Linked DNA regions of Drosophila melanogaster. The gene in region 3 interacts genetically with the main gene of each other region. Each region holds a gene or a part of one and is shown on either strand. Other genes may lie near its edges. The genes, in order: soti, ScsbetaA and klhl10.

What was found.
Region 1: of klhl10 (region 3) and soti, changing one suppresses a phenotype caused by changing the other (phenotypic suppression), as found in Drosophila melanogaster (one study listed by BioGRID).
Region 2: of klhl10 (region 3) and ScsbetaA, changing one enhances a phenotype caused by changing the other (phenotypic enhancement), as found in Drosophila melanogaster (one study listed by BioGRID).

What each region holds. Positions count from the first base shown.
Region 1 is NT_033777.3:14,377,018-14,385,840, forward strand, and holds soti (scotti), read right to left. Parts: upstream 4,683-8,823; 5' UTR 4,513-4,682; coding exon 4,069-4,512; 3' UTR 3,646-4,068; downstream 1-3,645. UniProt on the Drosophila melanogaster protein: Post-meiotically transcribed gene that has a role in late spermiogenesis; required for actin cone progression during spermatid individualization.
Region 2 is NT_033777.3:8,934,489-8,946,371, forward strand, and holds ScsbetaA (Succinyl-coenzyme A synthetase beta subunit, ADP-forming), read left to right. Parts: upstream 1-4,235; 5' UTR 4,236-4,263; intron 4,264-4,269; exon of another isoform or gene 4,270-4,325; 5' UTR 4,326-4,331; coding exon 4,332-4,400; intron 4,401-5,180; coding exon 5,181-5,284; intron 5,285-5,993; coding exon 5,994-6,146; intron 6,147-6,210; coding exon 6,211-6,373; intron 6,374-6,433; coding exon 6,434-6,701; intron 6,702-6,825; coding exon 6,826-6,828; intron 6,829-6,919; coding exon 6,920-7,344; intron 7,345-7,412; coding exon 7,413-7,582; coding exon of another isoform or gene 7,583-7,586; exon of another isoform or gene 7,587-8,069; intron 8,070-8,189; coding exon 8,190-8,346; 3' UTR 8,347-8,539; downstream 8,540-11,883. Other genes in the region: osk (oskar), read left to right, coding at 658-1,192, 1,441-1,858, 1,954-2,718, 2,777-2,879; CG11964 (uncharacterized protein), read right to left, coding at 8,570-8,655, 8,717-8,912, 8,977-10,410, 10,468-10,497.
Region 3 is NW_007931083.1:48,815-58,812, forward strand, and holds the start of klhl10 (kelch like family member 10), read left to right. Parts: upstream 1-4,627; 5' UTR 4,628-4,728; intron 4,729-7,887; exon of another isoform or gene 7,888-8,013; intron 8,014-8,076; 5' UTR 8,077-8,130; coding exon 8,131-8,453; intron 8,454-8,505; coding exon 8,506-8,790; intron 8,791-8,844; coding exon 8,845-9,109; intron 9,110-9,998.

The DNA.
Region 1 (8,823 bases), on a different chromosome or scaffold from region 3:
GTCCGTCTGGTACGTCTGTCTGTCTGCTGCGAGCTGCCTGTTTACAGGAAATTCCATCAAATTCCTGTCGGCTGGGTGCAGCGAAATGAATAATATAGTACCATGGAATTAGGTTATTACACTGAAACAGGAGAAGTCGTCGACTCAAGTAATTTCATTAGTTGCATTTTTAAGATGCACCCGTGGATGCAATACCTACTTATTGCGGATATCCCAGCGGAAAGCTGCAGGTGAATATTATTATTTGGCATAAACTCAATTGGCGAGGCAGCTATTGCCATGGCTCCGGCACAAAGTCGTTGTTGCCAACTAGCAACTAGACACACAAATCGCTTGCTCGTATTTAGACAGCCGACTTGGATTGCCACTTGGCCGTCTTAACAAGGGGAATGAGAGGGGGGCGGGTAGGGTTGGGATGGACTTAGCAATGTAGTCCTAACAAGGGGTATATTGGGTGGGGGTTTTGCGATGAGAAACAAGGAATCTAGCCAGACTGCAGCCCACCCACGCTACTTACGTCGAAAAGTGCCTCCAACTGATGCTCAGTTTGCCATTCGTTTGGGCGGATGTTGCTGCTGTTGCTGCTGTTTATGTTGCTGGTGTACTTACTTTATTTTCCAACAATTTGCTACACGAGCTCAGTGCAGATGTGTGTGTGAGTGCCATATGCCGCAGGGGCAGGGGCAGTGGAAAAGTCACGGGTAGAGGGAGGTTAAACAGGGGCATCAGAGTGGCATAAGAGCCTTGGTAATGGCAGTCACAGACATCAGTTTCCTCCGTAGAAAACCCCCAACATTTTCCATGGGCAGCAAAAGCAGACGCAGAAGCAGAAGCGGCAGCAAAAGTCAAGGTATTTTACTTGTGAATTGTTTGTAAGTGGAAAACTTTCTGCACACGTTTCTCCATAAATACAACAGAATAAAAACAAAGTATGTATAGCGCTTAACTCAATAGTGATGTTTAAATGCTCTAGATGGCACTACATGGGCATTACTTGAGAACAATAACATCTGAAGTAATTACCACCTCGTAAACACACACGGAAATCGAGAAATTTTCTATTTAACTGAGAATAAATATGGATATATGGATATTTTAAAGCTGAATAATAATAGAGTGTTAAATAACATTGCTTAAATATGTAATTCATATTATTTTATAGCTCTTACAATACATAACATAATTCATTAAATAGAGTATTTAAAGCATGCGTTCTATAATTGTTAAAGTTTTTTAGCCCCGCCGCGTTGCTGTAATTGTTTGTATGTAACTTTGCTGAGCGGGCGAAATCCCGACCATTTGTGTGTGTTTTTTTTTTTTTTTTGGTGGGATATTTCCCGGGAACTGAACTCAATGACAATAATTAATGCGAACTTAAGTGTGTGTATAATTAAGGAGAAACTGCAAGAAGTTGCCGCGACATTGAATTCATGCCAGCAAGTAGATGAAGGCAAATTAACTTGGCCAAATTTGGGGGGGTGAAGCTGGGTTGTTAGGTGCTTGGGCGGTTGGAATGGAGAGTCACGTGAGGCAAAATCAATTACTCAACAATGCCCAGGTGATGGAGGGTGGCCATAGATCAAAGACGTGGCATAACAATGGAGCTCGGCGATAGCGGATGGGCATCAATCACATTTCGTGCGTTCAACTGCCGGCGGGTGGAATATCCAGGAAAGTCAGGAAACCGAGGCAACAACCCCAATAACTCGGGTCCATTTAGCATGGATGTGCAGAATGGGCAGAATGGACAGAATGTGATGGAAAGAGTTTCGAATCGTCTGTCAAACAATGGAATTCGAACGCAAAACGCCATGCCACTCGGTTGTCAGATTGTTGCAGCATTTGCTAAATGAATCAACCCTTGCAACATGTCATAATTACGCTTTAAACGTTGCCCCCCAAACCATTTATGATAACTCCTTTTGTGGCGCGACTTTTGTTTAATTTGATTTCTATGTGTATTGCTTTCAAATGGACATCTCGCCCATGTAAAAGCAACAATTAGGCGGACAAAGCTAACCGAAAATCAATTCAATTCAATGCAATTCAATTAGAAGGCGCGCCATTGCGGGGGCACCACCACCACCAACAACAACAACAAAAACAACAACAACAACAACAACAACAGCAGAAACATTGTTGCATGTGGCCATTTGCAACGCAATCACAGAGCGACCAAAAAGCAAATGCAAAAGCTCAGCCTAAAAGCAGCCGCAAAAAGTTATGGCAGAAGGACTTGCCCCACACCGACCTACAACCCCCCCCCCCTCATCCAGCGAGGGAGGGGTGCAATGGTGCAATGGAGTCCTTGCACTGGGACAATTAAATTATGCGGTTATCATTGGAGATTATTTAATTCATTTAAAGCGGCTTTTAGGAGCGCCAAACTAGCAATATCACAGCAAATTTAGCCCTTGATTTAAACATGTTCATAGTTAATTGTTATTAGAATAAAGGCTAATGCAAATTAAACTCCAACTAATACCTTCATTTTAAATTGAATAAATTAGGGATATTATGATCATGGACATTTTGCAACATTTTTGTAGAACAACAAACAAACCTAATACTAAAAGTAAGACGACCATTGTTAAAATAAACCTTATGGTAGATTAATATTTAAAAATATATATATTTATTTATATTTGAAGACTTATTCTAAATCGCACTAAATAAATAAATAGCACTAATTGATAGGAATTGTAACGCATATTGTTTTCAGTGCTTATGTTGCGGGCGTGGCACATAATAAAGCTGGCTGTCTGTTGCAATAATGGCCGTAAATTGCCGTCGCTTCAACTGCTTCTTCTTTTTGCTGCTGCTGCTGCAGCTCTGGTTGCTGTTGTTCTTGTTGTGGTTGGGGCGGATAGGGGGTGAGGGGGCGTTGGTGATGTGGCCAATGCAATTGCAACTGCAACATTGCAACAGCAATTGCAACTGCTACTGCAACTGCAACTGACTGCAGCCTATTTGTATATGAATGCAAGTGTGTATCTTTGTGCTGTGGCATGCGAAGCACATTTAGGAAATTAAATGCGTTTACCTTCGGTATATTCCCCCCCACCACCACCCCTTCCTCATCCCTGCGGCATTTCAGCCGCCTGCCGCCCACAATTTATAAGCCTTTTGGCTACATTTTGTGGCTTTGATTGCAATTATCTTTTGCATTTTGTATTTATTTGCTACACTTTGGGCAATTGTCCGCATTCGGCCTTTGTCTCTGGTTCTCCACTGTTCATCTGTTCATTGTGGCCATTGTCAGTGGCCGTAGTCCACATATGTGTGTTGTTGTTGTTGGGAGGGGAGCCTATATAAATCCTTTTGTTTTTGCCACAAGAATGCCGAGGGAGAGATGAGAGGGCAGAGGCGGAGTGATGGGATCCATGGCGTATGTGGGGCTTCCAATTTGAAGTTTATTAATTGTCAATTTCATGAATTTTTCGGTAGCCTTCAGGCCAATCGGCCTCCGCCGGCAAGCAAATCAAAATCAAAAACTTTGATTTGTATGTACGTTATGTAGGTGCTGCAAGAGGGAGTAGTCTCTATTTGAACAATAAATGCGTTATTAATCTGATACCTGTAAGTGAAGTTCGATTTGAAAATATTGAATAAAGTGTGATAGTCACTGTATAGACAATTTAATTTAGATAAATCATTCGGTTTTTATTAACATATATGTGGTACTTATATATTATGTGGTTTGTTAACAATTGTAGAATAAATTTGGAAAACAATAAGTTGAAAACCAAATATGAAAATATAAGTTTGCTAAATCGTGTTGTTTATTGAACAAGATTGAACCGCAAACATTTTTCAACTGTAAGTCAGTAAAGTAACGTCTTTTTTTCCTTTTTTGAGCTTGGTGGAGCGGTAGATAACTATGGTGTAACGTATTTTTGTTTTGAGCAAGTTTTTAGAGGAAAGATAACTAATGGGATGCATATCGGCTGGTTGGATATATGGACGTGTACATGTATGTGTAGTATGGGATCCCAATGAGCTTGCTCGATCTTCCGAGGTCCAAGAGAGGTTCTTCTAATTTACAATCTATGGGAGAACTATGGCGAATCAGAACTGACCCCAATGCTGTGGCAGACCCATACCATTCGGGTAGTTCTGACTGGTCATATTCTCGACGAGGTAATTTGCAAAGTACTCGCCTCGCTGATCCTCGCGAACGTGACGCATTGCCCTCGTGACACTGGCCATTAGGAGGCACATCTCCGGCTCCTGACTTTGGCATGGCGGAGTGGGTTTGGTCATAGTGTAGAAACTTCGTTTCTTCCGCCGACGTGGTGGTCCATTTGGCCCTCCTTGCGCCGGAAAAACGCCCAACGGTGGCTCTTGAGGAGCGTCCAGGAGTATGTCCATCTGACGATTGACTCCCAGGCGCTGCTGCTGCTGTCCATCCTCCAATGTGTCCAAGTCATCGCCAGCATCTTCATTCACCGCGTCGCCGACTCGATCGATTAGCTGCTCATCGTACAGATCGTGTCCGTGTAGTACGTCCATTCCAACTTACAGGCACATACAAAAAAAAAAAAACAACCAACAAAAATTGAACAATAAATACGGCAGTGTAGGTTGTGCTTCTGCTATTCAATACGATGTTTTTTTCTCTGTAGTATCAGTTGTGTCGTTTTGTAGTTGTAGTGTCTGAGTTTGATTTAGAACTGAATTTAATATCATGGCATTGTGATTATGAGAAATGGAAACCTGACATAAAAATCAAAGGAATATTTGCTAATAAATGATAGGAGGAAGATGTTTTTTGTTTTGTCATTTCTATATTATTTAGAGAGTCTAGAAGCCAAGAGCATCAGCAAAGAAAACTTGCCACATACCAAGTCCCATTTGGTCGAAAGTTTTTCGCCTGTTTTCCAGCCTCCTAAACTGGGGGCGATTAGATAGAATTGTGTGTATCCATTAGATGTAGTCATATCCATATCGAACGGCCAGTGACAAATGGGAAATCGCTGTCTGACATTTGCTCGCCTTGTTCCAAATCGGGTTCAGACCCCAATAGCCAGCCCCCAAGTGATTGGACACATTTAGCCCTATTTACCCACCCCAACCCTTACGAACTCACAACCCCCCACCGACGCCCCATCGACGTCGTCATTACAAGCCATTTAACTCGACTCGAATGCCTGGCATCAAGTGCTCCGGATTCAGAATCGAGAAATCGAAATCGGCAGCTGTTTGTGTGCCTGTAATGGGAGCACATTACAATCTGTAAATGAGCTCATTACGGCCAGCTCAATTAATAACTTTTCGTATTGCGTTTAAGCAATCGCATTTCGGAAATTGTTTGCCAGACAAATCGCTGTGAGAGCGAAAAGTTTTTCCCGCCGGAGGAAATTATGAAGTGGAAGTGTAAGCGGAGTGGAATGAAGTGGAGTGGAGCAGCTGCATCCAACAAGTTAGCCATTACCATCATGTTGCCAAGGATGTATCAGCAACATTTCGATTAGCGCATGCGCAGATGCTCCCCCTCGCTCTCACTGCGTTCTTTCCTCTCTCTCTCTCTCACTTTCTCTCTCTCTCTCTCTCTTGAGATCTGACCTCTCGCTTGTGGAACAATTTATTATGGCTTTGGGTCTATGACTGTGTGTAATCACATTGTTGCCATTTTCACTTCATTATTTTGCTTTAATACGGGCAAATTTTTGTTTTACTGCTGCACAGAGACAAATCGGGGCAGAGTATTTTGTTTTATCTTAATTTTTGTTGGTAAATCTTTTGTTAGGCATTAATAAAAGTTCAAGTAAAATAAATTACAAATTATAAACAATAAACAAAGATGTTTTTATATTCATTTGAAATATTACAAATAATATAGTTAGTGCTTAAGTTGATTTTACTCATATCATTTAATGAAACTTACTGTGTATAGTAATACAATTTCTCTAAGTGCAACTTGCATCCTTCGCCTTCTGTTTGCGTCAGTTCGTGCCTTCCTTCTCTGCTCACCTGTCCCCATCTCTTTCTTCGAGTCTCTTGCCTCTCTGAGAGACGAGTTGGACTGTTACAGTTGGTTAAGTAACGAGGCCAGGATGAGCTTCCCTTCCAGTTATCAATGAAGAAATGAACATGTCCCTGCTGCTTCGTCGCTTCGGGCGACCTTGCCAGTGTGTGGGTGCGTGGGTGGTTGGCTGTTTTTGGGTGGTTGAGCTGGGTTGGGCTGGACTGGATTGAAGTGGGTGGTGGTGGGTGGATTGTGTCTGCAAGTGTGCGCTTCTGTGTGCAGCAGACAGTAATTATTATGCCATGTCCAGCGATAATTGATTCAATGAAATATCTCCAACACGAACATTGTGTCCATGAAAGCTCCTGGGCAAGGATATATCGCCATATGTATGGCCTGTTTGTGCGGCTTATTTAAAGCTCACACTAAATCGGATTTGTCAGCCAATAAACGAGTGTTTGTCTATGACCTCACTCGATGGAAATGGTGTCATGTTAATGGTTAGAAAATTAGCAAGTCCCCGTTTTAATATCCTAATTTAGTTTTAAAATTAGAGTCTTAGCATATTATTATCATATAATTTGTACAAGTGTATATATAAAGTGGTTGTATATTAGTGATATTTGCTTCCAATTAAACAATCTCTAATGCAAAATCATTGAACCCAATTAACATTTCCCATCTGTCAACTTCATCCTGCGCCTCAGTTAACATTCACATTAATCCGTCAGTTTGCATTTGCTGACAACTTCTAAGTACATAATCAACACCCTTGACAGATGTTGGTTAACTAATGAGCTGTTTTAAGGTGTTTTAATTAGCCGATGCTGACGCCCGTAAACCAAATCCCCAAACAATGTGAAAGCATAAAACAAATATTATGCTAATCAATCCATCAATATTTTAACACTACCCTTGGGGCATTCGGGTGACGTGCAGTCGGCTCCAGCTTCAGCTTCAGCAACCAGCTGCCAGCTAATTAAATTGAATTATTATTGCATTTAATTATCGGCCATGCCCGGCATTCTATGGCCACATAAAATGTCAACTGCATTAGCATCATCATTATCGGCCAGGCAGGACAACACTTTCGGGTAAATTATCCCATGGAGCCCCAGTCCTCTTTGATCTCCGCCTGCATCGACGTTGCGCTTGTTAAATTCAATACAGTCGAGCATAATTTTTATTTTTATTTTTATATCCATTTTTCCAAGTGGGGACAGTCGGCGGATGAGGATGAGGATGTGGATGTGGCTGTGCGTGCATTTGTCTCCTGCTCTTTTATATTTTCGTTTTTAATTACTTTTGCGCTATTTTTAAGCTGTCTGCGGACGGGCAACATTCGAAACCAGGTCCCAAGTAATGACGGAGCAGGGACAAAGTGGCAGGGAAACCAGTCCCCAGTCCTCAGTCCTCAGTCCTCATGCCGCAGTCCCCGATTTCCCAGTCCACTCAGTCCACTGCATCTTTACTAGGTGTTAATTTATTTTTAATTTTTATTATTTATCAGCGCTATGCGATCGCTGTGGCAGCCGTCTCCATCAAAGAGCACCACACAAAATGCTCAGACGTAAGTGGATCGCTCTGGCGCTTTTGGGCACAGTCATGGATTTCCTTCCATGTGCCAAGTGCAAACTGCATCACTGGAAAAAAAAAACGATATGAGGTAAAGGAATATGTTTGCTTTGCTTAATATTAAATAAGTAGTCTTAATTTAACAAATTTCTGAAACTACCAACATTTTTGTCAGTTTATTACCAGTAAAGTAAACAGGCAGAATAAAGACGGAGATTTCGGGAAGTATAAAAGCTAGATAGTTAATATTATTAATATTTTCTTGATCTGTTAAAAGATTAAAGCAAGATTATTCATATTCAATTTGCTAATTACATTGCTAGCTTATTAATTCTGTAATTGTTCCCCCCGTTAAAAATAAAAGAATAATCACGTTTTGATGTGTTGATTCCCGGAACACACTCATTCCATTTTTCACTGACTGTAAGTGGATAAAGAGATCGTTGTGGCTGCTCAAACACCCGGACAATCTCCATGCCGCCACCTCGGAGTATTCCATCATCATGGCGCTGACGTTTCTATTGCATGCCATGTGCCATTGCCACAAACCATCCACATTCCCATCGTCATCCGCAAGACCGTGAGCAATCTCAATCCCAAACCGAATCCCAATCCCAAACTCGTTTTCCATTCCCTGGACTGCACTCTCGCATGCAATTAATATCATTTTTATGTTTCTAATGACATTCGCTGCGCTGCATTTGGTGTGCGTTTAGCGAGGAACTGGGTGCCCCGAAAAAGAAAACCATCATCGCTCAAAACGGCGTGTCGGGCACGAATCTTTCAAGTTGTAAAAACGCCATTAAATTGGCAGCGAAGTGCATGCCAGCCAACTATGATGGCGATGATGATCACTCAGAAGAGGAGTAGCACCCGAGTCTTGGTCATAAACAACTTGAAACTTGGAATGAATGGAGGTGCGTAGGGTGGCAGTGGAGTTGTTGCCCCATTAAAAGGGGTCCGACCCTGGCCACATTTAATTCACTTTATTGTCTTTAATTAATTTGTATGTTTTTATTTCGATTTTGGACAAGAATTTCTCGTTCGCCCAACATTTCGCTCTTTTGTTGTAAATATCATAAATATTTCGATGCTGCCGCTACTGCTGGCCGTCATAAAATGTTTTTGTGGAAAAGTAATAAAGCTAAAAGTGTATAAATAAGTGGTGTAGAAAGCGATGGTGGGTGTATTTCATGCTGTGGCTGCTACTGTTCCAGCCACGATTGGAATCTTAATGGTCAATAAAAGCTAATTAAATGTTTTTAATACAGTTGTGTTAT
Region 2 (11,883 bases), on a different chromosome or scaffold from region 3:
GGATAATCATCTCCTGGGGAATTGCTGCCAAGCAGCTCCATTTGCCGATTAGCCGACAGACCACCAGAGCACCACCGCACGTGGTAACGCTCGTCGGCACCATTTGAGTTATTCTGGAATTTATGTATATGCTACTTCGTAATTGCTTATCAAGCAGCTCTGCAGACCCACTGGCGTGCTGTTTTCTAATCTGGACCAAGAGAAAGGCCATTAAAACGAATGTCCAGCTGGAACGGAGTGCAAACTGCTTTGTGTAATGGTCGTCAAATGGCAATGCAGGTGGTAATTTCGTTTAATTGTTTTTACTGGCTACGTAGACTGCTTTGAATGTTAACCTAATGGTGGGCGAATGGGAACAAATTGATAAAAAAATTAAAGAAAATGAATATATATATATATATATAGGTTCTATATTAGGTTCTGAAAACAGTTTTTTATTTTTTCAAAATTTTTTGGTTGTACCACCCTAATGTATTTTCACAAATTCTGTTGATCTGGAAACATTATCTCTGCAAACTGCTCACCGTTACTTCTGTTGCGCCTGCTCTTTCGCCTTCCAGTACGAAAAGCACCGTAAGTCTCCAAAATGCAGATGAATGGAGAAGTGGACCGCGTTGGCGAGGGATCCAAGAATATTGGATCACTTTCCTCCAAGCGATGGCCGCAGTCACAAGTGAATTCCCCAGCAAACCGATCAGTTATACCAGCACCAATACTTCCGCCAAAACCTATTATCTTAAGTCCGTGAAAAAGCGGGTGACCACGTGTTTCCAGCAGTTGCGCGATAAACTCCAGTCATCCGGTTCCTTTCGCAAGAGTTCCTCCAGCTGCCTCAACCAGATCTTCGTAAGGTCCGATTTCTCCGCATGCGGCGAACGCTTTCGGAAGATCTTCAAATCGGCGCGAAAAACCGAATTGCCGGAGTTGTGGAAGGTGCCATTGGTGGCCCATGAACTCACCAGCCGGCAGAGCAGCCAGCAGTTGCAAGTCGTAGCCAGACTCTTCTCGTCCACTCAGATTTCCACCAAGGAAATCACCTACAACAGCAACAGCAACACCAGCGAGAACAACATGACCATCATCGAGAGCAACTATATATCCGTGCGCGAGGAATATCCCGATATAGATAGTGAGGTGCGCGCCATATTGCTGAGCCACGCCCAGAATGGAATCACGATATCGAGCATCAAGAGTGAGTAGCTTTATGTTTGAAAGCTTTCTTCTTTCCAGAAGTTTCGACTTCATCAAACACTTCAGAACTTTCTCTAAGTGGCTATATTTAGTTAGAAATCTAAAATGTATAAATTTTTAGTAGGTTATTAAATTTTATTTGGATTATATAACTTTTATAGTTTAGTATATTTATTTTAATTTATATTTTTTCTATGTTTCTTTTTTGTAAGATTACCCTTAAATAATTCTATAATTGAAATTCGCCAGGTGAATATCGAAAACTGACGGGCAATCCATTTCCACTGCACGACAACGTGACGGATTTCCTGCTGACCATTCCCAATGTGACCGCTGAGTGCAGCGAGTCCGGTAAGCGGATCTTCAACCTGAAAGCGAGCCTGAAGAACGGTCACCTCCTGGATATGGTGCTCAACCAGAAAGAGCGCACCAGCGACTACAGCAGCGGAGCTCCGTCCCTGGAGAACATACCACGAGCACCTCCACGCTACTGGAAGAATCCCTTCAAACGGAGGGCTCTGTCCCAGCTGAACACCAGCCCGAGGACCGTGCCCAAGATAACGGATGAAAAGACCAAGGATATCGCCACCAGGCCGGTTTCGCTGCATCAAATGGCCAATGAGGCAGCGGAGTCGAACTGGTGCTACCAGGATAATTGGAAGCATCTGTGAGTACTGAAAAGGTGTTTTGTAGACAGTGCAACTATAGCAAAAATAAACCTTTACTTAACAAAATGTACTAATCTTTCTACTGAACTCCTAGCAACAATTTCTACCAGCAAGCCAGCGTAAATGCGCCAAAAATGCCAGTACCCATCAACATCTACAGCCCCGATGCCCCAGAGGAACCAATCAATTTGGCTCCACCTGGGCATCAGCCAAGCTGCAGAACCCAAAGCCAGAAAACCGAACCGACTGAAAACCGCCATTTGGGCATCTTTGTGCATCCATTTAACGGCATGAACATAATGAAGAGACGCCACGAAATGACGCCCACGCCAACGATTTTAACCAGTGGAACCTACAACGATTCTCTGCTGACGATTAACTCGGATTACGATGCCTATCTGCTGGACTTTCCGCTTATGGGCGATGATTTTATGCTATATCTCGCCCGAATGGAGCTAAAATGCCGATTTAGGCGTCACGAACGCGTCCTGCAGTCAGGACTTTGTGTATCCGGACTGACGATCAATGGCGCCCGAAATCGTTTAAAAAGAGTCCAATTACCCGAGGGTACTCAGATCATCGTCAATATCGGATCGGTGGACATTATGCGCGGCAAGCCTTTGGTTCAGATCGAGCACGATTTTCGGCTACTGATCAAGGAGATGCACAATATGCGATTGGTGCCGATTCTAACAAATCTTGCACCGCTGGGCAACTATTGTCACGATAAGGTATTATGTGACAAAATCTACCGATTCAACAAGTTTATCCGAAGCGAATGCTGTCACCTAAAGGTCATCGACATACACTCCTGTCTAATCAACGAAAGGGGCGTGGTGCGATTTGATTGCTTTCAGGCGTAAGACTTTATACCATATACCATATCATATGAGTTTACGATTTGTGCCACTTTTCAGCTCACCACGCCAAGTCACCGGTTCCAAGGAACCCTATCTGTTCTGGAACAAAATCGGTCGGCAGCGCGTACTGCAAGTTATTGAAACGAGTCTGGAGTATTAAGTTGGGTTCTTAATCAAGATACATATATGCAAATTTTGACTGGGCTGGCACCGGAACCGACAAAATAAGAACTTTTTGATGATTTTACGATTTACGCTGATGGATCGCTGCTTTTACGGAATTCGCTTAGTTTTAATATGTTTTATATGTAGTATGTTCTCTGTCTTTGTTTATTTATATGTTCGTGCACTTGTCCTAGTCCATTATTGTATATTATTGTGTGTTTTGTGTTCTATGTTAGATTTAAACTTCTCAATTTTTCGCTGTCTGTGATTTGTTTTGCCAATGCCATTGATTTTCTGCACACTTTTTGCTGCTATCCCAAAAGCTGTGTAAAATAATCAAATGCAAAATAAGCGCAAGCAGCTGAAAACTTCTCTTCAAACTTTTCCGCTTTTCCCAAAACCATTTTGCTTTGAAATCTGTTTTTACCAAATCAGATTAAACTGCAAAATGGAACTTAAATGCAAATCATTGCAATGCTTATAAACTGTTTTTTGTTCTATATACTTTTGTGTGGGTCAAAATTCGGCATGCTCCTGTATCACACAACCTGCCACTTGCCCTTAAAAAGAAGGGCGCAGTGGGCGTGGTACGTATACATATGAGCCATGCTGCATTTTGGCCGTAATGAAAATGCACTGCTTTACTTGGAAAATTCGCTTGCACAAAATCAACGCCGCGGCTGATTTATTATTGATGTGCTCAAGCAAATTCAAGTGAAGCATTTGCGCGATTTTCGTCTTTCTGTTTCCGTTTGCAAAAAAGTTTATAAAATGCTTACACTCTGCTGCAGACACGCCAACCGGAAGTGCGCACTAAGCGCTTGTTTGTAGCACAGTGTAGAATTCTGGCGTAATTTACAGCTCTACTTTAAAGTCTTCTAGATAGCTATCTACTATTTATAAACTTATTTATTGTCTTGAATGTATGTTAATTGTATGTATTGATGGTGATCACGTTTTTTTTGTCCTATAACAAGCTGCAATGTAAAATCCAAAAAAAAAATGAAAAAATAAAATAAAAGGGAAATCAATGATTTTGTTTGCTCTAAGCTATGTTCAAAGTAACTGGGAACTAATCGAACTAATTTCGATTTAAAAGTGGTCTAGATTATATTGTGACATTTGTGAATATATTATTATATTTGCGAATTTATTATTATCATAAAAATAACGGTAGTTGAAAAATAATTTAGATGGCATGCAATATTAAAAGTTCCCGCCAAATTGGCTTGAATCTTTGCTAATATATTACAGTTTCCAACCTTGCATTAAGTTCACGATAGTTTTTCGGCATTTTCGATTGTAAAAGCATAAAAAAGTCCCTGCTATCGAAGCTCTACCACCTCCATCAGCAGGCGACGGCAAAAAAATCTTGAAATGTAAGCAGTAACGTCAAAATTCGCTTTCAAATCGTTAAACGTACGTTCTCATTCGATTTCAGAACAAAATGGCTTCATTCTTGGCACGAACTGGCGGCCCCCTGATCGAAACCGTTAGGCCAGCGGCCATAAAAAAGGTGAGTTCGCCAATTAGTAGTCATATTTGTGTGTAAAAAATGCGAAAATCCGTCGCTTTACATAATAAGGCGAAAAGAGAGAGTGAACACCTACGCTGTCCCCTTCTCTGTCTCTCACTTACTCACACATGTGAAATGCTGATCGTTTATCGGTACAAAAAAAAAACTTAAGCGATAATTTAAGTTCTTTGCCATTTGTTAACTAATTGTTTCTCCAGAGAAACGGGGAGAGTGTGAGATTTAAAGAGAGTCACGATCACCAAAGACACCTGACTTTTTTATTGTGTCAGTGTGACGCAACTGTGCGCTTTTCGTACGCATGTGTGTGTGTGGGGACCTTGAAAGCCCCATTTATTCCCCCACTTAATTTAGTTTGTTTTTTATCAATGAGCAGCTGACAACTGTTGCTTATCGTTTGTGGTTGTTGTTGCTGTTGTCGCCGGGCCCTCTAATTAAATTCTTAATCTGTGAATTAGTTTCGGTTATCACCGGGAAACGCCGTTAGCCGGACGAACTTGCTCTTAACCCAGATTTCGTTTCTTTTCGCCGCTTTTTGTTTATGTTTTTTTCACATGAATCACCGAACCAGTTTTTTTATGTTTAATTTTTGCTTGACAATGACCTCGTGACTGGAATTAAGATTTCATTTATAAGTACAATAAGTTTCGAAATCGTTTTTATTTTCATCCTTTTAAATATATTTTTAATTATTTTTCTTGTTATCTTTAATTAGCATCTAATTTTCGCAAATTAACATGGCAAAAATTCCAACCTTTTCAGATTCTTGGCCTGGCTCCCATCGCCGTCCAGCAGCTGAGGAACCTCAATGTCCAGGAACACGTTTCCTACAGTCTGCTCAATGAGGCCAAGATCCCAACACCTCGGTGAGTAAACCCAATCGGAATTATCAAAATCGCGGGCAAACAACCAACAATTTGCGTCAAAGTCGCAGTCCAAAGTTCAATGAAAGTGCCGCGTTGTCGTTGCGTCGTCTGTTTCCTTTGGCTTATGTGCGTTTTGGACTTTGCCTGAACTTAATAATATGCATTGAGTATAGCCGACTACGGGGTAAACAAACCAGAGAAACGCAGCCGCCGATGATAAGGGTGATAACAAGTTTTATACTATAACACACTTTGATCGGCGTAAAGTGACAAGGGTCAGTGACGTGGGCTTTGATAAGATGGAAGCGGCATTAGTTGACGTCTATCATAATTAAACTAACTAAATATACATAAACTTTGGGTAAAGAAAATATATTTTAATGTTTAAAATACCTGTAATTTAAATTTAAGCAATTGCAAAGCTAGAATATTTTGATTTCCATTTCGTTTGATAAATTGAGATTATTAGAATCAAAAGATAGTAGTTGCTTTTGCTATTATTCAGGTAAAATCAGGCGACTGATTTATTTTCTAAATGAGGGCTTGTCATCTCTCGAATGACCGAATAACCTTGTCTCAACTTTCAACCTTTGTGGTCTACTGATAACACGATTTACGTGAAATGTTCCTATCAACAATCAATCAGGAACATCGTAAAGAGCGCACCCCCAAAATTATTTCGCGTACTGAGTGATTCATTTTTTTGCAGTTTCGCTGTTGCCAAGAACGGCAAGGAGGCCAACGATATCGCCACCAAGCTGAAGACCGATAACCTGGTGCTGAAGGCTCAGGTTTTGGCCGGAGGACGAGGCAAAGGAACCTTTAAGAATGGCCTGAAGGGAGGTGTGCGAGTGGTCTACGAGTAAGTTGTGATATATGTCTAATATCTGTGTGGTAAAACATAAAAAACAAATCTTACTCCGCAGTCCCCAGACCGCTGAAGAACTTTCAAGCAAAATGATCGATCAGCTTCTGGTCACCAAGCAAACCGGAGCAGCCGGTCGCATCTGCAAAAAGGTGATGGTTGCCGAAAGGAAGTTCCCCCGCCGTGAGTTCTACTTCGCCGTGATGATGGAGCGTGCCTTTAACGTATGTCTAATAACCATGCATTCAACCCTGTGAAGCTATAAAAGACGATTCAATTTCCAGGGTCCCGTGCTGATCGCCTCCAAGGAGGGTGGTGTTGATATTGAGGAGGTGGCTGCCAGCAGTCCAGATGCCATTTTGTACGAACCCATCGATATAGGCACTGGCTTGACCAGTGAACAGGCCGAAAAGATCGTCAAGAAGGTTGGTCTGGGCGGCGATGGCGAGGACACACATGTCCAGATGCTGTTGAATCTGTATGACCTGTTCGTCAAGAAGGATGCCCTCTTGGTTGAGATCAACCCCTATGCCGAGGATGCCATGTCCGGCTGTAAGTTTAGTTATATATGTTCTCTTAAGCCATGTGTTGTGGTCTAATTCTAATGTCTGTCTCATCCTAACGAACTAACTCATTTGTGATTGTCATTGTACTGGATTTGATGTTTTCTGTCCAGGCTGTAAGTATATTTCACCAATAATAACCCTTTCCATTCATTAACCTATGTTTAAACCTAATGATTTGTAACAACTTTCAATGATTACCTGTAGTCTTCGCATTGGATGCTAAGCTGCGATTTGATGACAACGCCGAGTTTCGTCAGAAGGAGCTGTTTGCGCTGCGCGATTGGACCCAGGAGGATCCCAAGGAAGTCGAGGCTGCCAAATACAATCTGAACTACATTGCCCTGGATGGCACTATCGGCTGCATGGTGAACGGCGCCGGTCTGGCCATGGCCACCATGGATATCATTAAGTTGTATGGCGGTGAACCGGCCAATTTCCTGGATGTCGGTGGTGGTGCCACTGCCGAGGCGGTCAAGGCCGCCTTCAAGATCATCACTTCCGATCCGAAGGTGCTTTGCATTCTGGTCAACATCTTCGGTGGTATTATGCGTTGTGATGTCATTGCCGAGGGTATCATCTCCGCCACCAAGGATCTGAATCTGAACATGCCCGTGGTTGTGCGTCTTCAGGTGAGTTTTCATGGATGCATTTATCTGACTTGCTGAGATATGCTAAACAAAACTGGTTTGCATTGCAGGGAACCAAAGTCAAGGAGGCCCGCGAACTGATTCGTACATCTGGACTGAAGATTCTGGCCCGCGATGATCTAGATAAGGCTGCCGATCTCGCCGTGCACTTGGCGCAAATCGTCAAACTGGCCCGCGAAATGAAGATGGACGTGAACTTCGAGATTCCCGATGCCCAAAAGTAGATAGCTCCATCAGTTACCGGCTAAGTCAACACTCATAAGCACACGCAGACACAAAATGAAAGTCGACAAAAAAGTAGAACCAAAACCAAACATTTACTCTAGCCACACGTAAACTACTCAATGAAACTATGCCATCGGTTCGTAGTTAGAGCATTATGTATTCGTAACGATCGGTCGAACAATTGATGAATTAATTTTGCAAAAATGTTAAGTTTAAAGCTGTTTAAAGTCCTAAGGATATGTCATAGATAATTCGAATAATCGAGCAAGTTGAGTGTTCTCTTTGCACCTAAACAATTTCTATATTGTATCTTAAATAGTCAACAACATTAATTGCACGTGAATAATAGAAAATGGAAATGAAAATACGTTTTAATTGTGATTTTTGCAAAAGTTCATTTAAATTTTATTTATTGAAATGTGACCCTGCTTTTAAAGCAGATCCATCATCTTGTGTATTATCCTATTTAGTTTGCTTTAAATTAAAACACCAAACAATCATACACCGAACCTGGCTTTTGCGTTATTCAAAGACTGCTTAAAACAGTGCGTTTTAGTTCATTTTTAAATAGAGTCTTACTAACTTTAATCACTGCACCTTAGGGGCAAGGGCGATTGCAAGAAAGATCAAAAACAGCCCGACAGTAAAGGTGGCAAGAAGTCGGAGAAGAAAGATGACAAGAAATCTGATTGCACAAAAAAAGAGGAAAAGAAAAAGGAAGAAAAGAAAGACATTTGCGAAAAGAAAGGTAAAAAGTAAAGGGATACAAATTTTGTAATAAACAATGCAGGATCGAGCCGGATGTGTTTGAGACTTACACCATCAAAAAGAAGGAAGCCATTGTTTAAATTCAAAATCCAAATTTGCCACAAAAGTTTCATTGTTCAAAATTTTAATCTCAAATTTCAGATGTAAACTTCTGACCCGCCACATTTTTAAAGATTTTCATAATATTTATGTTTTGTTTATTGTGTGTTGAGCCTTAGAAACGATCGACTAGAGATAATATGTGGTTCTGCTCCTGTTCCCGCCAGTCGGTGTCGCCATCGCCCAGGTTGCCAGCGTATTCTGTGAATGAATTTGAAATTTGAACATCTAAGTTTTACTGGGCATTCCATTTGTGGTTTACCCCTCATTATGCTGCGAATGGTCTTCATGGAAGCGCCGCGCAAGTTAAGGATCTGCAGTACACGCTGCTTGACGGTGTCGCCAGTGGCACTGACCTCCAGCAGGATGTAGTCGATGCGCTGCAGCGTGAACAGCCCGCCGGTCAGTCGTTTTATATAGTTATTCTCCGCCTCCTCGTCCTCATCAATGGTGGGATCCTATGCCATGATATTGGTTTTCAATTGATTAGTTTATGGTTACACATAAAACTTCATTTCGTACCTTAGCCTGCTGATCGATCTCCTTGTCTATGGCTTCCACCTTGGCCAGATACTTGAGGTGCAGCTCCAGCAGGCGATCCACCTTCTCGTGATCATTCTCCGTGAACTTGGCCAACATTCGCTGGCGGTGTGTGCCCTTGCAGTTTCGCAACATTGATGCGATTACGGAGGTCACATGCTCCTCATGCTCATCGGCGGAGATTAGGCGCTGCTTGTTGCGCTTGGGGGTTTTCATAAAGAGTGGGAAGATGGTGCGCAAGCCGAGAATTTCGACAAACTTGTTGCAGTTGTCTCTGCCATCCTGGCCAGCCATGGCATGATCCAACACCTTGAGCGATCCATTTCTAGACATCTTCTTCTCGCGCAGCATTAGGTTCATCAGCTGCAGACCCTCGCCGCTGAGAAAACGATCGCGATTCTCGCGGGCCATCAGAGCGGAACAAAGGCAATTGAAGAGGTTCTGCATGTACTCCTGCTCCTCGTTGCTAGCGGGATCGTGTCTCTTGTAGACAGCCAGCTGCTGGAGCAGCACATCCACGCCATCCAGAGAACCCAGCAGTAATCGGTTCTCGTTCTCCGTTTGTATAAGTATGGAAAGTATCTCGCTGCAGTAGAGTTTGTTGGGATCGAAGGGCGACTTGCCGCGCAGCCGTTTCAGCAGCCAGGCGAGCAGTCCCTGTTCAGCGGCTTCCTTCACGAATTCCGAATCGATTTCGGTAAGATTTTCCACTATGGCCAGCGTATTATGCACGCCATCGGCTTCCTCCTTAACCTGTTCGTTCAGTCGCTCCAGATTCTGGACAAGCAGAGCACAGATTTGCTCTTTTCTCAGTGCTTCAATCAAGGATTCGGCACCCTCTTGACTTTCGCCCAGGATATCAACATCGGTCACTTCTTGCAGCAGATCTACCACGGCCACGGCTATGTCTGTGTTCTGATGTGCCAGCAGTTCGAGCAAACTGTGCAGGCCGTGCAGATCCACGAGAATTGGATACAGATCGGGCACCGTGGCCACGCCCTTCAGCTCCTGGATTACCGTGTGCAGCTCCACCTCGGAGTCCATGAACTTCTCGGGACTGTCGGCAAACTTGATGCGCATCTCCTGGTTCTTCAAGTTACGCTTCTCGAACACCAGTATCAGTTTCTTCAGGCTCTGCTCATCCAGAACATCGCCATCGGCCTCCTCGTTCTCCACGTACTTCAGGATGTTCAGGCGTTCCTCCTCTGTCAGTTCCGGATCGAATTCAAAGGCGGAAGTGCCACTGCCACCGGTGGCTCCTCCACTTTGCTTGACATAGTGTGCGGACTCCTTGGCATCGGCGATGCGCCGCATGCGTTTGGTTTTCTCATCGACACCGCCCCGTTTTCCGTGCGAGCTCGCCAAATCGAATTCATCGTCCTCGTCGTCGTGCGGACGCTTTGGCGTCTGTTCCGGCTACAGTTTGGAATGGTCCAGGTGCATGAATATCATTGGTATTATCCATATATTTACCTTAAACGCCAGCAGTTCGCCGATGTCCATTTTTGCGGGCCTTAAAAAACAATTAGTGCTGGAACGTTAGGCGATTCTTCAGCGATACTATCGAACGTGAACCGCACGTGAATGAAGATAGGTTCAGAACCATGATAAGCATGACTTAGCGGAGACTCAAGCCCTTTAACCCTTAGAAGGTGACATCATTATTTTGTTTGAATCATATTTAACTTCAAATTAATTCATAATTCTGATTTCAATTTGTGATTTAAATTTGTTATTACCTACATTTTATATAAATCAAAAATTAATTCAAATTTTAATTCGCTATTATATATTGCTTTTCGATATTTGTGCTCTTCAAATGTTACTTGAATTATAAGATTTTGTTTAAATAAATATATAATAATAATAATTACTAGGCAATTTTACAACATTTTATAAAGCAAAGCTAACAATCCTAAAAGAGCTTTAATAAGTTTAAAAACCTAGAATATGGTTTATAATTTCTGTATTCTTTAAATAATTAATACTTTTAATATGAAATTTAAAACTAGCAACTTGAACCCATTAAACATTTCTTTCGCCCACCCAGCCTCCCAAAAAGGGGCCTTTGGCTGTTTTAGCCCAGCGCCTGCGACTTTGACGACGAGTTTACATAAATTCCTAAAGGCCAAGCCCCAAAAATAAATTTACAACTGCTTTAAGCTCTGGCAATTCAACAAGTTGTTCGCGTCTATGAGTGTATGTGTGTGTGAGTGAGTGTGCGCTAGTGTGTGTGCTTTCTTCGAGCCAGTCTTTTTTTTTCAAGTCAGTTCGTCAGCGTGATTTGGCGTTGTTGTTGCTGCCTGTGCAGTTGCCATTGGTAGTGGTATTGGTATTAGTATTGTTGCTGTGGCTCCTGCCGCTTTTTTACTTTTTTCTGGCTTGTTTCATGCTGACCCACTTTTAGTGGCAATACGTGAGCCCGAACAGTGGGGCAAAACCTTAGTGAAAGCTTCGCTGTAAAAGAGCTTTAAAAATAGAAAATATATGGGAATTTTAAAGTGATCATATAAGCTATAGCTCAATTACGAAGAATAATAGAAAATATTTTAAAAATGAAATTACCTTATTTTCACTATATTTATAATTGTAAAAGTGCTTAGATTAAATTCAAAATAAATAATGAGTTTATGGATTTTGGCCACACTGTGCCGGGCAAAAAAGTCATAAACTGAATTGCCAACAGGTTATGGCGACTACCACGAAGACGACGGATGGCTTGTTTGCTGTTTTTGTTGCTGCGGCTCGACTGCGGCGGAGTAGTAAAAAGGGCCATGACAGTGACACTTTGAAGTTTGAGGTTAAATCGTCAATGTTGTTGCCTTGGTCTTGCTCTCTGGCTGGCATTGGTTGCTGTGTGGATGTGGATGGGGCTGTCTCACTTGGGGA
Region 3 (9,998 bases):
AGCAAATATTCGATAAATTCTACATATTTGATAACCAAGTATTCCATAAAGATACCAATAGGGTAATATTCGACAAATTTATTATTGGAATCATGAAACAAGAGCAAACTCAATGCAAATATATTAAAACACATAAAAATTACCAAATAAATTATATAGAACCAAATATATTATTAACATGGAATATTCCTGAAACAGCCGTTAACCAAGACTGTACAAACAATAAAATATTAATATCAGGAAACAACATCATTAAAATTAAAAATTGTACCATGCAAATGGATGAATTCTTAATCTCTAATAATCTAGCAGACTTTACACAAACAATTTATATCACCAACAAAGTAACACGTCTAGAACCGATAAATCACTTACAAACGAGAGAAATGATAGAATCCCATGTAAAACACTATAACTTTTTCCAAATTATATGCATTACAACGTTCGTCATAATGATAATTAGTTTGACTCTGTATGTAAGTTTAAGTTTAAAAATATACCTAAGAAAATTATTGTCAAATATCGTAAGCAAAAAGAACACACGCACCTTGAAAATAATGTCAATGAAAATATTCAACAGGGATAATAATAATATTACCTTATACCCAAATTTAACGACCTGAGGACAGGCCAAATTCAAAGGTTGGGGGAGTGACATATCCATAAGTCCCTAAGACTTAAGCATATGCCTACATACTAATACACTTACAACATATACACCCCAATACAACATACACTACTCCGGATGTACCCAACAGATACCAGATAAGAATAAGATTGTTATATGATCCTCGAGAATGGAAAAACCCCCAATTCTAGATAAGTCACCCACTGGTAGACTAAACATCCGTCCCCTAATTTAAACAATACATTGCTTAAGCCTCAGCCCATCGTCACAATCCCACGTTCAAAGCTCGGAGCCGCAATCCCGAAAAACAAAAGTATCGATTTCAATAAACAAATTATAAGAATCTAAGAGCACTTGTATCCAAGAGCAAATGCACTTGAATCCAAGAGAAACGCAAAGCTTTTTCTCTTCACGATCAGAATCCTAAAGTCTAAAGTCCATATTAGAAAAGCTCGATACCGAGGCTTGAACGTCAATCAAATCAGAATAATTATCAGAGTTCAGTTTGAGACCTAATTGTAAAATGTCGGTGTTCTCCTCAAATAAAAAGATTGTAATCATTCAGTGAAATAAAAATTATATTTTTTTCACTTATAAATATTGCAAGAATTTAATTATATATATTTGTCAGATCTCCCACAAGTTAAGCTAAATTAGAATCGTAGAGGTTTATAAGTAAATATTTTAGGCAAAATTAACACATATATAAAAAACGATTCTAAAGATACTCAAGACTGGACACGATCATTCGTGTTGTGGCTGCTTCAGCAGCCTGGGGCTCGCGTTGTGCAGAAATATTCTCGGAATGCGCACGGATGAAGAAGAAGTGCCGCTGATTCGATGTGTGCGATGAAAACAAAGAAAAGATGCACACAAAAAAAAGATGCACAAAATGGGTGCACGGCGATCTGCTCCTTGCTTGCGGCGATGAAGGGTAGAAAAAGAACGCCAACTCGTGGGGGGGGGGGATTGTGGCCTGCGATCTGCACTTGGTTGGCAGCAGAAAAGGACAAGCCCAGCTTTCCGCTGCACGCGGTGGGTGCTCCTGATCCAAGCAGTTGTGAATCTTTCTGCGATCGATGAAGCCACAGTAAATTTCACACGTGGTCAAAAGTTGAGGGCGAAAAACAATGCAAGTCGCTTTGGCGACGCGGCCACTAAGACTTCTACCTCCAAATGTGGGACCGGCAGCAGGCTAGTTAAAGTTAGATCACGATTTAAACTATCACTTGGCAGTATTTGCCTTGAAAAACTCTTATCCGGTCTACACGATTCTCGTGGATTTATAATCAGGGACTTTGCATCAAATTAAACTGCCCTCGATCACGACTTTCCGAAAAGAGAACGGAAGTATGCAAATCAAGTGTGACCGTAGCTTGCTACAATCCTACACGGGAATTTTGTGGTATTTTATAGGGCAATATTCAATTTTGCCAGGATTTGAATTTGGCTATAATGGTTCGTTACTAAATGAGTGCGATAGCACATATAAGGTTGCCATTTTGGCTCGACTCCCACACTTTTATAATTCCCAAGTTCTCGACGTTCATAGGGACAGACGGACATGGCTATATCAACTCGGCTATTAATCCTGATCAAGAATATATATACTTTATACATACTGTCTGTTACATACTTACATGCTAGTACACCCTTTTACTCTACGAGAAACGGATATAATTATTGGATATAATTATTGTCAAAATCGATTCTTAGTATATTGTAAGTTTATTTAAATAAATACCAAAAATGCCCGATACTAATATCGTGAGTCGGCGGGAAAAAAAATTAACATTCCTTTTTCATATCAATATTTTTATATTTGTTTTTTTTTTGTGGAACCGAGTGGTGTTGCATAATGCTAAGTTTAGCCAAAAATTCGTTTGTATCTTACTAGTGCATAAAAATAGTCCGCTCCTACCGTTGAGGTATGCTTCTCGGAGTCTTTGTGTTATGGTAAATTTTTGTTACCACATTAGGCTTATGATTACATGGATACTAACCAAATAAGTAAATGTAATTAACCTTTTATGTTTAATGTTTATTTGACACCACAATTTTCTTCTTAACAAATTTATAAATCCGCGCTTAAAATATATATGTATATACATATATACAAATGTAACTAATTTTGGTAAAAGTATAAAAATGAAAATAACAGCATTACAAAGATTTATGTAAGATTGTTTATTATTATTGTTTATTATTAATTTAATTATTAGTTTAATTCTAAATGCGGTAATTATATAAAGTATTCTTAGTTTGTGACCGAACGACTGCTGCTGAGAACTCGACTGACTGCCACGCTGACTTCCACACCACTGCTGCCTTGCGATCGTTCCTTCGATGACTGATTGTCGATAACTTCGATTTCCGACAATCATGTTGCTGCTCAACAGCGCTGCCAACCGGGTTGTTGCCAGCCTTCAGCCTTACTCCATGTTACATTCGGCCCTCCTGATCATCATCATCCGACCCGGATGACAATAGGTCTGCATTTTCGGCTATGTACTTCCACAACTTCATGTTGTCACAGCTGGTGGATGTGACATTGGGTCCTTCGACGTTTGCTGCTTTTTTAACGTCATATCTGCCATTGTCTTTGACCCCTGTGACTTCGTATGGACCTAAATACCCGCTTGCCATCTTGCGGCCAGCTACAAATTGGGTCCTTTTAATTGCAACCAGATCACCTGCTTTGTATTTGTATTCAGCTCGGCGCTTTTTGTCGTAATTGCGCTTGTAGTCCTTCTGCGCCTGCTCGATGTTGCGTTTTACCAGCTGTCTCATCTCATAGCGGTCCTCGTTGAATTGACAGACCACTTCTTCTTGGAGCAGTTCCAGTAACCGATCCTCAACTCGGGTGTACATCTTGGTGCCAAACATGACCTCAAATGGTGACAGCTTCAGTGATGAATGCACGTGACAGTTGATCGCCTTTTGTACCTCAGGCACATATTTGTACCACTTCGACGGTTCGTCTGAAGACAGCTTTGATATTATTGCCAAAATTAAACGATTTACTCGTTCTATCTGGCCGTTGCCTCTGGCCACTCCAGTAGTTGTGCAGACGTGTTCCACGTTATGGCTGCTCATAAATTGTTCGAACGCACCACTCGTAAAGGCCGTTCCTTTGTCGCTAACAATTCGCTTAGGGAAACCAAAAATGTTTGACCAGTCGGTCAGCCTCTTGACCACTTCTTCCTGTCCGGTTGATTTGGTTGGGAATAACCAGACAAACTTTGAAAACGCATCGACTGTTGCCAGAATGTATTTATACTGTTTGGCCGATGAATCCATTGGCCCCAAATGATCGATGTGTAGTGTGTGCAACGGTGCGTCTCCTTTATCTATGCAATTTAGATATCCCTCCTGCTTTCCCAACTTTTTGCTGTGGATGATACATTTTATACAGTTAGAAATTAGCTTTTTTACCTTGTATTCCAAATGAGGAATAAAAAATTGCTGCTGTATGCTATGCATCGTCTTTTGCAACGACAAATGGCCAACTTCATGTGCGCTTTGAATCACCTCCCTCTCCATTAGTGCAGGGACAACCAGTAGTTCATTGCCATTGACCATACTATACAACAGGCCACCTTTTAGCTTGTAGGGTTGGAATAGACGATCTTTTAGAATTTCCGGGATTGCTCTAATTGAATCATCGTTCTGCTGCGACTTTTTAATACGTGCTGTCAACTCGGATGTTATCATCATGCATGCTTGGGGATGGCGGCTTAAAAAATCAACGTGTCTCATTCTTTCTCCTGCACGATGTTCGGGTTGAAAATTAAAATCCTGCATATAGAGAATCCATGGGCCAACTTCTCTTGGGACATCTGCTTTTTTTGTTGTCTGTTTAAATGCGACACAGTCCGTGACGAGCTTGAAAGGGACTCCCAATAAATAGTGTCTGAACTTTTTCAGAGCTAAGTATGCGGCTTTTACTTCAAGGTAGTAACTATGACGATTTGATTCGGCTTTTGTAGTTTTTCTGCTCCAAAAGCAGACTGGGTGAAAACTGCCTTCGAACTTCTGCAATAAAACGGCTCCTAACCCGTCCTTAGAGGCATCTGTATGAAGTTCGGTTTCTGCTTCTCGTGAGTAGATCCTCAATACTGGTTCGTTTACCAGAATCTCTTTCAGCTTATTCACCGACTGCTGCTCTACTGGTCCAATGTTGAAAATGGCATCTTTTTTTAATAGGTCCGTCAGTGGTCTCGCAATTTGGGCGTATCCAGGTATGAATTTTCTGAAGAATCCTGTGAGACCCAGAAATCCTTGAACGGCTTTTACATTCTGAGGTGTTCCAAAGGAATTCACTGCTGATGTTTTCTCTTTTCCAGGGCATATTTGTCCACCTTCGATAATATGTCCCAGGAAATGAATTCGCCTCTGCATAAAGTTGCACTTCTTCCATTTTATTTTTAGACCAAATTCTGCAGCTCTCTTAAGTACCATTTCCGTCTTTTCCATGCATTCTTCTGGGGTAGCGGCATATACAATTATGTCATCCATATATAGCTGCATTATATTGGAATTGATTAGTTCTTGAAAAATAAATTGAACGAACCGTATAAACGCTGCTGGGGAATTCTTAAAACCAAAGGGCGCTTTGTTAAACTCGAATAAGCCTTCTCGGGTAACAAATGCTGTGTACGGCTTGCTGGCTTCTTCTACGGCCACATGAAAAAATCCGTTCTGTAAGTCCATGGTTGTAAACCATTTGGCACTCTGCAGTTTTTCAAGCACCTCCTCCATTATGGGTACCGGAAAACAATCCATCAGAACCATGGTGTTCAATTTTCTATAGTCCACGCAAACGCGTAGGGTACCATCCTTTTTCTTGACAACGACTATGCGACTGGCAACATTTGATGTAGATTTACGGACGATTGACTGCTCGACCCATTCCTCTACCTGCTTCTTTACAGCTATAGCTTCTTCTTCAGATAGTCGGGTGTGTCCATGGCGAAAGGGTTTAATCACGCCATCAGGAATAATTTTGAGTTCGACTGGACATTGCTTTATCTGCTTGGGTGGTGTTTCGTATGTTCTCTCTATCATGCGTTCAACGTCTTCTCGGTATTGTGGTGCAACTGTAAAAGAAGATTCTTCACAAATATTAAACATTTGGGAATACTCAACCGCTTGTTTTTTATCTGCTTCCAGGTCAAGAAAAGTATAGCCTTCTGCACTACAGATAAGACGAAACTTGCTGATAAAATCGTGTCCCACTATTCCATCGCAACTGAATTTAGAATCGTGGACGACTAAAACGTTGTGGCTTGCTTCCACCTGGTCGGTCTTGATTAATGCTCTGAAGCATCCAATCGGCTGTGTTGAGGCATTTCCCAAACCTCGCAATACTGTTGCAGTGCGGTTTAAATCAACATCTTTCATCTTCTTGAATATAGCTTCTTTAATTATGGTCACATCTGATCCTGTGTCCACCAGACAGTTGATGATAATCCCATTTATGATTACTGGCTTTGTTCGTGCACTATCAACGTGAATGCGCATGCTGTTTACTTTTTCCGGACACTTGCTTGAGATATGGCCCTCTTGATTACAGCTGAAACATTTGGTAGGAAGTGTACAATCCTTTCGTTTGTGTTCCCTCGAACCACAGTTGAAGCAGTGATCTGCTTTTACACCTTGTGTAATTTGCTTTGGTTTTGGTTGAATATTCGGCTTGTCAACAATATTCAGACTCTCGTAGATTTCGAATTCTTGCTTTAATTCCTTAAGAGTTTTACAACGGAGCATAGCACCCTTATACTCCTTTTTAATGTCGAGGCCGTTTACGATATGAGTTATCAAAGCAACTGTTTCAACTTCACCTAAGGCTGCTATTTTCTTCATTTGTAACAAATAGTCGTGTAGAGTTTCCTCCCTCTTCTTCTTCCTGTCTTGCAACTTTTTGTGAATAACGGCGCTATTATAGCTGCCTGAAAATTCTTCAATTAGTAACTCTTTGAGTTCAGTGTATCCACTGACACATTCAGATTCTAAGAAAAGTTCTGCTGATCCAATCATCTTACTTCTGGCTTGAACATATTTTTGTTTCTCCGAAAGTTCATATGCCTCGGCATTTTTCTCAAAAATTTCAAACCATTTTTTAATAGGAATTGATTTGCCATCACAGTCACTTACAACTTTTTCAAATTTTTCTGCAGCGATAATTACTTGCCCCTCTTGTTTAGATTTTGCCAACATGCTCTGGGTTAGAGTATTCATCATTTGTTCAAATTTCTCTTCGACTTTAGCACTAGCGTCTTTATTCTGCTTCTTTGCCTCTGCTTCTCCTACAGGCGCCAACTTTTGATCTTCTTCGTTCATTTTTTCTTTTCTGCTTTCGTCCTCGCTTTCGTTCTCTAGAATTGCTTGTATTTGGTCGGTGTTAAGTTTTTTATTTGTAGGTGGTGTACGTGTGAACATTCCGCGACAAGGCACTAACACCAGCAAACAACGACAATGTTCTAACGGCGCGACGGTAGTCGATTTTGCAGACGGCGCCACCGGTTAAAAGACAAATTTTGATTTTCGTTAGAAACGAATTTCACCACCTTTGCAATTTAATTGTTTTAAATTCCACAACAGCAAAACGACTTGAGTCTGTATGAGTTCAATCGATTTTTTCAACTTTCAATGCAGTAGACGTAGCCATAACTTTACAACTTTAAAGACTAAATCCACGCACACGACAATTTCAACTTTATCAGTTCTCTCTAGCAGCTTTCCCGACTTTTACCGACTTGTGTTCAAACAAAATCTGTACAACTGATTTTTCCAACTTTAAATGCAATAGATATAGCCACAACTTTACAACTTTTAAAGACTATACCCACGCACACAACAATGTCTTTTTTCTTTAAACAACTGCACCTTCATATAACCGATTTAGGACTGGACGAGCCCCCATGTAAGATTGTTTATTATTATTGTTTATTATTAATTTAATTATTAGTTTAATTCTAAATGCGGTAATTATATAAAGTATTCTTAGTTTGTGACCGAACGACTGCTGCTGAGAACTCGACTGACTGCCACGCTGACTTCCACACCACTGCTGCCTTGCGATCGTTCCTTCGATGACTGATTGTCGATAACTTCGATTTCCGACAATCATGTTGCTGCTCAACAGCGCTGCCAACCGGGTTGTTGCCAGCCTTCAGCCTTACTCCATGTTACATTTATAAAACTGAAAGTCGTATTTAACCCTATTTATGATAATAATCATTTTTGTTTAGGCTTAGCAGTCATTTTGTTTTCCCCCATAAATTTATTGTTGCTATTCCTACATTGACTAATATTCCTGTTCCTGCAGTTAAATACGAAGGTACTTCTTTTCACAGTAAAAACAAAAATTATTAGAACGCGAGGTAACAACCATTTACAGATCCCACCTATTTTATTTACGTATGTGCCTAATTTCCACCCCATAGACACGGTTCAGCATCGAACACAGTAAAGGGGTTGGACTTCACCTCGTTCTTCTAATGAGTCGTAATCAAAACGAAAGCAACCTCCTTGATATCAATGAAGATCTGCCTTTTGCTCTTGCTCTGCCCCCCGTCTCAATGGATTCGTTGCAGCTGAACGCAGACGGCAATAGCCCCGAGGACAAGACGCTCGGTATTGGCCGTAAAACCATTTTGAATGCGCACACAAAATCTTTGGCTCCCATTGTGAGTGACGAGGCCCTGAACACGCTAAATGAGCTCCGCGAGCAAAATCTTCTCTGCGACGCCCAGATTTCTGTGGGGGAGGATGTGTTCAACGTACATCGTGCAATAATGTGTTCATGTAGCTCATACTTTCGGTGAGTTAATAACTTCACCCTGAATTGTGAAGATAACACGTATTCCCACCAGAGCTCAATTCACAGGGTTTAACGCTGACACTCCCGGATGTGTAGATGGGTCAGATGCAAAAAAAAACAATAATTTTATTCATATCCCCGGCGTGAGTTCATGTATAATGAACTGTGTAATACAGTACGCTTACCTGCGTCAAACAAACATCTCCGAGAGCAATGTTCATGAGTTACTTATCTGCGCTGACTACGTTGGCATGGTAGGTTTAGTTAAGAAATGTAAAGACTACCTCGGTCGCATACTCACCCCCGAAAACTGTGTCAGTATTATGGGATTCGCACGGTGGGTTTAATTCGCTAATTGTCGTAAGGAAACCCTTTTAATTGTTTTACGTAGGTTCCGATTTTTGGAGGACCTTCACCTGAAGGCCAGGAACTACACTCTAAGGTACTTTACTGAAGTTGCATATCGTAATATTGACATACTAGATATGTCAGCTGAAGACTTTTACAGTATTATTAGCGATGATGAGTTAAATACCCGCGAAGAGGATCACGTATGGAAATTGTGTGTTAAATGGATCGACCGTAATCCAGAAAGCCGCAAGCGCCATGTTGCCCATCTAATGACTGGGGTACGACTGGGCCTAATGACTCCAAAGGTGGGTACACACATTTTTTATTTGAAATTCAGGACTTATTTATTGCATTACCTTTTATCTCTATGGTCTCTTGTCAAACTTAAAATGAGAACCAGCAACACCACGGGGAGACCATTACAATTGTAATGGGGTCCTATATTTACATATAAGACCTTCGAGTCGACTTGAATGTTTAACATTAAAACATTTCCATGTTCCCCAATTAAGTTATTTTTCTAACAATTGTTTTTTATTATATATTGCTCGATTTTTCAGTCGTCAATTATTTATATATCGCTAATTTTTTTATTTGTGATATAGAATGCTGAGCTTAGCTTGCTTTGAATTATTCTAGTGTCTTTGCTTTGGTCATATATTGAGGCACGAAGTGCGGACACAAGCATTCAACAATCAGTGTCTTATTCATTTTTTACACGCCGCAAGCGAAACAAGAATTTTTTACATATAAGGTGAAAAGCATATTTTGTCGAATTTACAATGCATGAGTATACGTGTGCAAGTTAACACAAGCCAACGTCCTAGAACAGTTGGCACAGTGCATGAAACATAATATAAAAGTGCTGTCCCAGCATTGGGCCGGATACCCGTGCGCAGCCGGGCATATTTGCGTGGCCGCTGCTAGTCTTTGTTAGCTAAAGGAATCATTTTAAGTTTTAGTTTGAATTTGCATTTATCAGAATAAAGAGCGGCAGCTCGTCAACTCCGAATAAGCGTCGTAAAACATATTCTTATTACTTGCTGTGCCAGACCACAAGGCTGTAAGTTAAAAGATTATTCAAAAGATTAATTATTTTTTATAACAGCGCGTACGTCACCAACAAAATCACACACTCCATCCCCACCATAGACAACACACCTCTCCACGCAAAATCCTACAGATATCCTTTTG